Linked DNA regions of Rattus norvegicus. The protein of the gene in region 1 interacts with the protein of each later gene in a biochemical or structural test. Links are inferred from orthologs where the notes say so. Each region holds a gene or a part of one and is shown on either strand. Other genes may lie near its edges.

The links.
Region 2: the proteins of Gprasp1 (region 1) and Oprd1 form a complex in vitro, tested with the Homo sapiens proteins (2 studies listed by BioGRID and IntAct). The link is inferred for Rattus norvegicus from reciprocal best matches to the Homo sapiens genes GPRASP1 and OPRD1.

Annotation. Positions count from the first base shown.
Region 1 is NC_086039.1:103,555,110-103,559,021, reverse strand, and holds the start of Gprasp1 (G-protein coupled receptor-associated sorting protein 1), read right to left. Parts: upstream 2,530-3,912; 5' UTR 2,315-2,529; intron 1,877-2,314; exon of another isoform or gene 1,614-1,876; intron 1,102-1,613; 5' UTR 1,039-1,101; exon of another isoform or gene 1,035-1,038; intron 879-1,034; 5' UTR 803-878; intron 657-802; 5' UTR 585-656; intron 424-584; 5' UTR 347-423; intron 190-346; 5' UTR 119-189; intron 1-118. UniProt on the Homo sapiens protein: Modulates lysosomal sorting and functional down-regulation of a variety of G-protein coupled receptors. Targets receptors for degradation in lysosomes via its interaction with BECN2.
Region 2 is NC_086023.1:149,590,125-149,594,036, forward strand, and holds the end of Oprd1 (delta-type opioid receptor), read right to left. Parts: intron 855-3,912; coding exon 313-854; 3' UTR 120-312; downstream 1-119. UniProt on the Homo sapiens protein: G-protein coupled receptor that functions as a receptor for endogenous enkephalins and for a subset of other opioids.

The DNA.
Region 1 (3,912 bases):
AATAGAGCATGCTATACTACTGGGCAAATTAAGGGGACAGTGATCTGAATTTGGTTAGAGCAAAATGAATGTGCCTTCTCAGTGGCTGGCTCTTGTACTACCCCTGAGTGTCACCAACCTCCAAGATCTGAGACAGTCGCCCTGAAGCCTTCTTTCCTTGCTTGCAGAAAAACCAGCCTTAGGGCAGACCTGTGGACAGACATGAAAATGTAATGCAATCAGAAAATGGTGGCAGCAGCTGTGGGCAAAGTAAGGGGACAGTAAAGACATCCTGCACCCTCTTGGGTTAGCGCAATCTGAATTTGTCTCCTCAGTGGCTGGCTCCTGCACTACCCCTGAGTCTCACCAACTTCCAGAGATCTGAGACAGTTGCCTTGAAACCTTCTTTCCTTGATTGAAGAACTGACCAGCCTTAAAGCAGACCTGTGGACAGACATGAAAATGTAAGGCAAGCAGAAAATGGTGGCAGTAGCTGTGGGCAAATTAAGGGGGCAGTAAAGACACCATGCACCCTCTTGGGTTAGCGCAATCTGAATTTGTCTCCTCAGTGGCTGGCTCCTGCACTACCCCTGAGTCTCACCAACCTCCAAGATCTGAGACAGTCACCCTGAAGCCTTTTTTTCTTGATTGAAGAACTGACCAGCCTTAAAGCAGACCTGTGGACAGACACGAAAATGTATGACAGTCAGAAAATGGTGGCAGCAGCTGTGGGCAAATTAAGGGGACAGTGATCTGAATTTGGTTAGAGCAAAACGAATGTGCCTTCTCAGTGGCTGGCTCCTGCACTACCCCTGAGTCTCACCAACTTCCAGAGATCTGAGACAGTCGCCTTGAAACCTTCTTTCCTTGATTGCAGAAAAACCAGCCTTAAAGCAGACCTGTGGACAGACATGAAAATGTATGACAATCAGAAAATGGTGGTAGCAGCTGTGGGCAAATTAAGGGGACAGTAAGGCAACATGCACCCCCTTGGGTTAGAGCAATTTGGATTTGCCTCCTCAGTGGCTGGCTCCTGCACTGCCCCTGAGTCTCACCAACCTCCAGAGATCTGAGACAGTCGCCTAGAAGCCTTCTTTCCTTGCTTGCAGCCTTAAAGCAGGGCTGTGGATAGACATGAAAATGTATGACAATCAGGAGATGATGGCAGCAGCTGATCTTGTTGAAAATGCCACCAAGGATCAGAACCAGATCAAGTGTCTTTTAGCATTTAGGGTCCTACTGCTGGAACATTCTGGATTTAGCCTGGCTGCAGGGTTCCTGAGGTAACACCCACTCCTTGATGTCATCCTTATTAGTCCCTTCTGCAATTCTGAAGACTCGCCACTAGGTGGCCATGTTTCCTTGCCTTGCGCAGCAAAAAATGGGGGAAGGGCGCAGTACATTCTAGAAAGCAGGTTCTGAAGTGGTCCTTGGATTTATGACTCCGTCATCATCCCCACCCCATCTTTTCAGACCCCAGATTTGGGAGGGAGGGGAAAGGCAGTGTAGAAGGTACCTGCAAGGCTGTGAGAAACGAGATTAGGAGACACTTATTCCCACCTGTTCTGGCCAGTCACCCCCACCCTTTTTGCATCTCCACTCACTGTCTGGTGCCCACTCCCATTACCACACACCTCCAGAAATCCACGCCATTTTCCTGTTCCTCTTTTCTCAAGCCTCTGGTGTACAGATGCTCACTCACTGTGGCCTGTCAGAATATGCCAGACCTACCGCGCAGACAGGACACTTTCCATCAAGCAGGATCCTGTGGGGAGTGACAGCACCCAGGGCGCAGGGCACCGGGGCCCCTCTCAGCAACTAGATCAGAGCCCTAGTAGCCAAGGCGACTCACAACCCAGCGCTGTCGCCAGTGCTGGACACCTGCCCCACACCCACACCTGTGGGCTTCATCCCCTCCCCCCCCCCACTCCAGCATGGCCGGCCATTTCTTTTGCAGCTGCCTTCCTGGGACCTGTGGGCTCCCTGATCTCCCTCCCCCCCACTCTCTCATCGTCATTTCAACAGCAGCTGCCTACCGTATAACCCTCACAGGGCCCAGACATTGTCGAGGGCGGGGTATTGGTGCCAGGAAAGTCAACTGCCAGGCGGTCGGCTATGCCAACCTCCAGACCATCACACCCAGCAGCTCCATCCTTCCCTTGTGCCCGGGTCTCTGCAGGGGTTCCCGCCTCCTTCTGCCCACCGCCTTGGGTCTACAGGCACAGCACACACTCCAGGGAGCAGCTGTGACCTGTTTGCCTCCACTGGACTGTCAGGGCCAGGCAGCTGTCCGCAATGCGCGACAGCCTGGAGCCCATGACACACCCCCACTTGCCTGGCCAGGGGCACAGCCCAGGTCCCCGGGCTCCCCCGCGTCCCTCTCCTGCTCCCGGCTGTTCTCTGTCCTCCGCAGATCCTTTCACTGGGCTTTCACTGCTTTGAGCGCGAGTGGAATGGCAGAGCTGTGTCCTGCCCCCACGCCTCTGCACCAAACGGGCAGGGGCTGCGCAGACTGCGGCAAGCACAGCTCTCCTGGAGGGTGTCGGGAAGGGGGCGGAGGGATACTGCGCACAGGGCTCGACGCCCCCTCCCGGACCCACTGTAGTTCCGACTCGGAGTGGGCGGGGCCACAGACAGTCCCACTCCTCTTGGAGGGGAGGGTTGTACCAGTGGGCGTCTGCAGACCCCTGTTCACCCTAACCAGAGACCACCACCACTTTTAAAAATATTTTTGGAGCCACACTCACAGTGTGTGAGATGGCTTAAATGTAGAGTGTATGAGGGCTTTGGAGAGGGGGGACTACAAGGAGGAGGAGGTCTGCAGTTGGGGAGCAGGAGGGAGCAGCGGATGGATACTGAGTGGGAACCTTCGTACATCTGTATTTCAGAACGAGGCTGGACAGTGCCTGCCCCTCCCTGTACTCCCTCTTTGCTTTCCCCCTCCTCTGCCTCCTCCTCTGACGCCAATGGAAGGGGAGGGGGGCTGCCAGTACTGCAGCCTGAGAGGGGACAGGTGACCTAGCAACAGCCATCCAGTAGGTTCCTGTTGATTCTCCCATGTTTTCTTTCACTGATTCATGCAACCATGAAGGGAGGGCACTTCTGTCTCCATGGAATCCAAAGTGGGGCCTCCATTACATCCCTCACCACTGCCCCTCTTCCATGAGGGAGACCAAACTACACCTTGTGGCCTAGTAAATCAACCACAGGTTTGGGCCAACAATCAATTCTTTGTGCCACAGAATGTGTGTGTGTGTGGGGGGGGTGTGGTGTGTGTATGGTAATGGTGGTGGTTGGGGTGTGTGTGCCTGCCCCCCCACCCCCCACCCCGTGTGTGTGTGTGTGTGTGTGTGTGTGTGTGTGTGTGTGTGAGAGAGAGAGAGAGAGAGAGAGAGAGAGAGAGAGAGAGAGAGAGATTGATTGATTCTAAGTAGCAATACCTTTCTGGGGGAAAAAAAAGAGTGGCATTAAGCACAAACTAAAAGCTGCTGGCATTGCCCATTTAGAGATTTATTTAAGCACCTACCCAGTGTTTCACAGAATAACAACCCATGATATGTAAAGATGTTATCTGGCCAAGGAATATTGAGATTTGAGGCGGAAGTGCAGGTTGTTAATAGTGGCATTCTGCATACAGTCATCCTGGATCCATCCAGTCATTGTGACTGCAAAGGTACTTAGGTATGACAGGCTGAGGCAGAAGAATGTGCATGTCAGGAAAGCAGCATTGGTAAAACAAAACCAAACCAGATTGGACACTGCTGGCCTCCAAGATGGAAAGAATCTAGGGCTCATGGAATGCAGGCAGTGTGAAGAAACTATACAAGATATTCTTCCTTAATAATCTCCAAAGGAAAGATCTGTTTGATTTCAGATAGGAAGACCTTTTTTTGCATCCAGTGGTGTGATATGAAGTTTGTCTCATTTTAAGTC
Region 2 (3,912 bases), on another chromosome or scaffold:
TGGAGCTGGGTGTTCAAAAGGCCAGAACCTGATGTCATCCCAAGACAGAGTTCTGTCCCAAAGGAGAGGTCTTACTAATAATGGATCTAGTTTAAGTATCACTCTCTTAAGTCACCAGCTCTGCCCTCCCAACCCCCACCCCTCCAACCCGGAGCCTTTGATTCCTCAGGCCCGGCCCTCATGGGAGCCCCCCCCCCCCCGTGTGGGCCCTATTCTAGCTGTCCCAATGGTGGCCATGGCCTCCCAGGGAGCTCGGTGTGGCCACTGCATCACTTCACTTGGGAGGGGCGTTTAAGCAGAGGGCCGGGTAGGTCAGGCGGCAGCGCCACCGCCCGGGCCGTCGGAGGGGGTGCAGGCGGTGACACGCTCACGCGCGGTGGCCTGGCGGGGACGGCGGAGGCTGCCGGGTTCTTGGCCGCCGCAGGGCGCGCGACAGAGCTGGCGGAAGCAGCGCTTGAAGTTCTCGTCCAGGAAGGCGTAGAGAACCGGGTTGAGGCTGCTGTTGGCGTAGCCCAGCGCAATGCACAAGTGCAGCGCGGCCACCACAAGTGGGTCGCGCCGATTGATGTCCACCAGCGTCCAGACGATGACGAAGATGTGGATGGGCGCCCAGCACACCACGAAGGCTCCCACCACCACCAGCACCATGCGCGTGATGCGCCGCAGGCTGCGGTCCTTCTCCTTGGAGCCGGACAGCAGGCGCACGCTGCGCAGGCGCAGCAGCATGAGGCCATAGCACACGGTGATGATGAGAATGGGCACCACGAAGGCGAAGAGGAACACGCAGATCTTGGTCACAGTGTCCCAGTACCAGCTGGGGCTGGGGAACTGGAGCGTGCATACCACTGCTCCATCTGAGTCCGGGGAAACAAGGAAAAGACACGGGTCAGAGGTCTGTGTGCCTAAGGGGCGCCGTCTGCTTGCCCCCTTTCAAAATCACTAGCTGGGTCGAGGAGATTCTGAGGTCTAGTATGTCCTTTTACTTGGTGAATTCCTTCTTATGCTTAAAGACCCCAGAATTGATTATCTGGGAGGTCCCTTCTGTGTCCTCTCCCAGGTCCTATGTAAGCCCTTATGTCCATAACTAATACTTTGTCCAGGCCCAGGAATTGATCCAGTGGATTGAACAAGACTGAAGGTTGATTTAAACAGTGGGTTAGGGCTGGCGATATAATTCAGGTGCTAGAGTGTCCCTGGTTCAATTCCCAGCACCGCACTAACTTGGGCCTGGTGGCACGTGTGTCACCCGAGCACTTGGGAGACGGAGGTGAAGAGGAGCAGGAGTTCAAGGTCATCTCTGACTACATTAACTTCTAGGTTAGCCTGGGCTATAAGAGAGTTCAAGTCCCAGCAACCACATGGTGGCTCACAACCATCTGTAATGGGATCTGATGCCCTCTTCTGGTGTGTCTGAAGACAGCTACAGCGTACTTATATATAATAAATAAAATAAATTTAAAAAAAAAAGAAGAAGAGGAAGAGAAGGAAGTCTGACTCCATCCCAAGTATGTGTGGCCTTGGGCAAATTACTCACTGTCTTCAAATTTCCTTATGGTGGGGCTAATAGTCTATCCACATTCCTGTAGTTACATTTAGATTTATTTGTCCAGTGAGTGTCAGTGTGTGTGTGTGTGTGTGTGTGTGTGTGTGTGTGTGTGTATCATACATGTGAAAGTTAAAGGACAATACACAGTTGTTCATTCTTTCCTCCCACCGTTCCTGTTCCAGGGATCAAACTCAAGACTGTCAGGCTTGGTGGCAAGCACCTCTGAGCCATCTAGCCAGCCCTACCTGTCCCAAGGACATTTCTTAAGACAGCTGTGAAATAGACGCAAATATATAAGGTATGTAGGTCAGTGGGGCTCAAACAGTTGATGCACTCAGAGGAAATTGGAGCCCAGAGGTCAGTGCTAGGGCCTGCATCTCAGGCAGGTAACAGCGAATGTAAAGAACAACTTCATACCAGGTGACATAGCACACATCTATAAGCCCACCATTCAGGAGACTGAGGTAGGAGGCTCTCAAGTGTAAGACTAGACAAAATTACATGGAGACTATATCCAAGAGTAAACTAAAACATCAAAGCCCTTCCCAATAGCCAACCCTGTAGGAAAAGGAAGAGGAGCTTCCTGTCCTGGAGAACAGGCTTGGACTAGATGAGTATCTCAGAGGACCTGGCAGGTCTGATGCAGGCTGGAAGCTGCCCCAGGGATGCTCAAGATCTCCAGGAGATGCACAGTAGACTTGCAGCTTGCGAGTCATGAGAAAGGGGCTGGAGAGCCACAAAGCATCTAGGGTAGTTCATCCTGGGAGGACTCTGGGGATGATTGAGGATCAGTGTGCTTATGGGTGGTGGTGCCCAGAGAGGGAGGAGGGAGGAGGAAAGAGGAAGGAGGGAGGAGGGAGGAGGGAGGGAGGAGGGAAGAGGGAGGAGAGGGGGAGGGGGAGGGAGGAGGGAGGAGGGAGGAGAGGGGGAGGGGGAGGGAGGAGGGATGAGGGGGGAAAGAGGGAGGAGGGAGGAGAGGGGAAGGGGGAGGGAGGAGGGAGGAGAGGGGGAGGGGGAGGGAGGAGGGATGAGGGGGGAAAGAGGGAGGAGGGAGGAGAGGGGAAGGGGGAGGGAGGAGGAAGGAGGGAGGAGAGGGGGAGGGGGAGGGGGAGGGAGGAGGGAGGAGGGAGGAGGAGGCCCACTTGACTCAGCTCCCAACAGTTAATGACTCCTAAACCCAAGGCTGATGGTGAGCTATGGAGCCCGTTGCTCAGGCAAAACCAAACACTCAAAGGCTGTGTAATGGCCCCAGGGTTCTGCCCTTGAGGGTCAAGGTGTCTAAGAGGTCTCCTACCACCCAATCATCTCCCCCTTCCTTTCAAGCCTCTACAGACTTCTACCCAGGGGTCAAAAGGGAGGAGAGACCACCCCTAAGGGCAGGAGCCTTGGGTGGAAGGCCAAGTTCCAATGCCTGCTAGTGAGGCTTTCTTTCTGATAAGGTCTGGAGAGAGAGAAAGAGAGAGGGGGAGGGGAGTCCTCCCTTGTTTATGAGGTGGTGTGGCTCGCAGGTTGGTTACTATAGCATAGATACCCTCCCACACGTCTTTACATCAAGGTGGGGGCCATGGGAACAGTTGACACTGGGAAGGGATGAGCACTAACATTGAAAATGGTTATGATTTCCCCAACTTCTTTTTTTTAAAGATTTATTCATTTATTATATATAAGTACACTGTAGCTGTCTTCAGACACACCAGAAGAGGGCATCAGATCTCATTACAGATGGTTGTGAGCCACCATGTGGTTGCAGGGAATTGAACTCAGGACCTCTGGAAGAGCAGTCGGGTGCTCTTTAACCACTGACCCGTCTCTCCAGCCCCCAACTTCTTTTCTGTATTTATGTGCTGGCCAGATACCTCCTCTGGGAACCCGCTACCCCCAAACTATCCTCCTCCCCAATAGACTGTAGTGGAAGGAGACACAAACTTCTGTTTTAAGCCCCTGAACTTGAGGATGTTTGACATAGCAGCGTTAGTGACTAATAAAGATGCCCTGGGAAATGTTAATTGTTTGCCACTTCCCTCGGGCCATTTTCTGGGCCTCATTTTTTGGTCATTTAGCCAATGCTAATTTTTTCTCCTTATTTGTCTTTGTTTGTTTGTTTGTTTTAAAAGATGTATTTATTTTATGCATGTCACTGTCTTCAGACACACCAGAAGAGGGCATCAGATCTCACTACAGATGGTTGTGAGCCACCATGTGGTTGCTGGGAATTGAACTCAGGACCCCTGGAAGAGGAGTCAGTGCTCTTAACCACTGAGCCATGTTTCCAGCCCCCCCTTTTTTTGTTTTTGAGGCCTGGTTTCATGGCCTCGAACTCATTATCAAACTAAAGCCAGCCCTGAACTCCCAATCCCCTTGCCGGG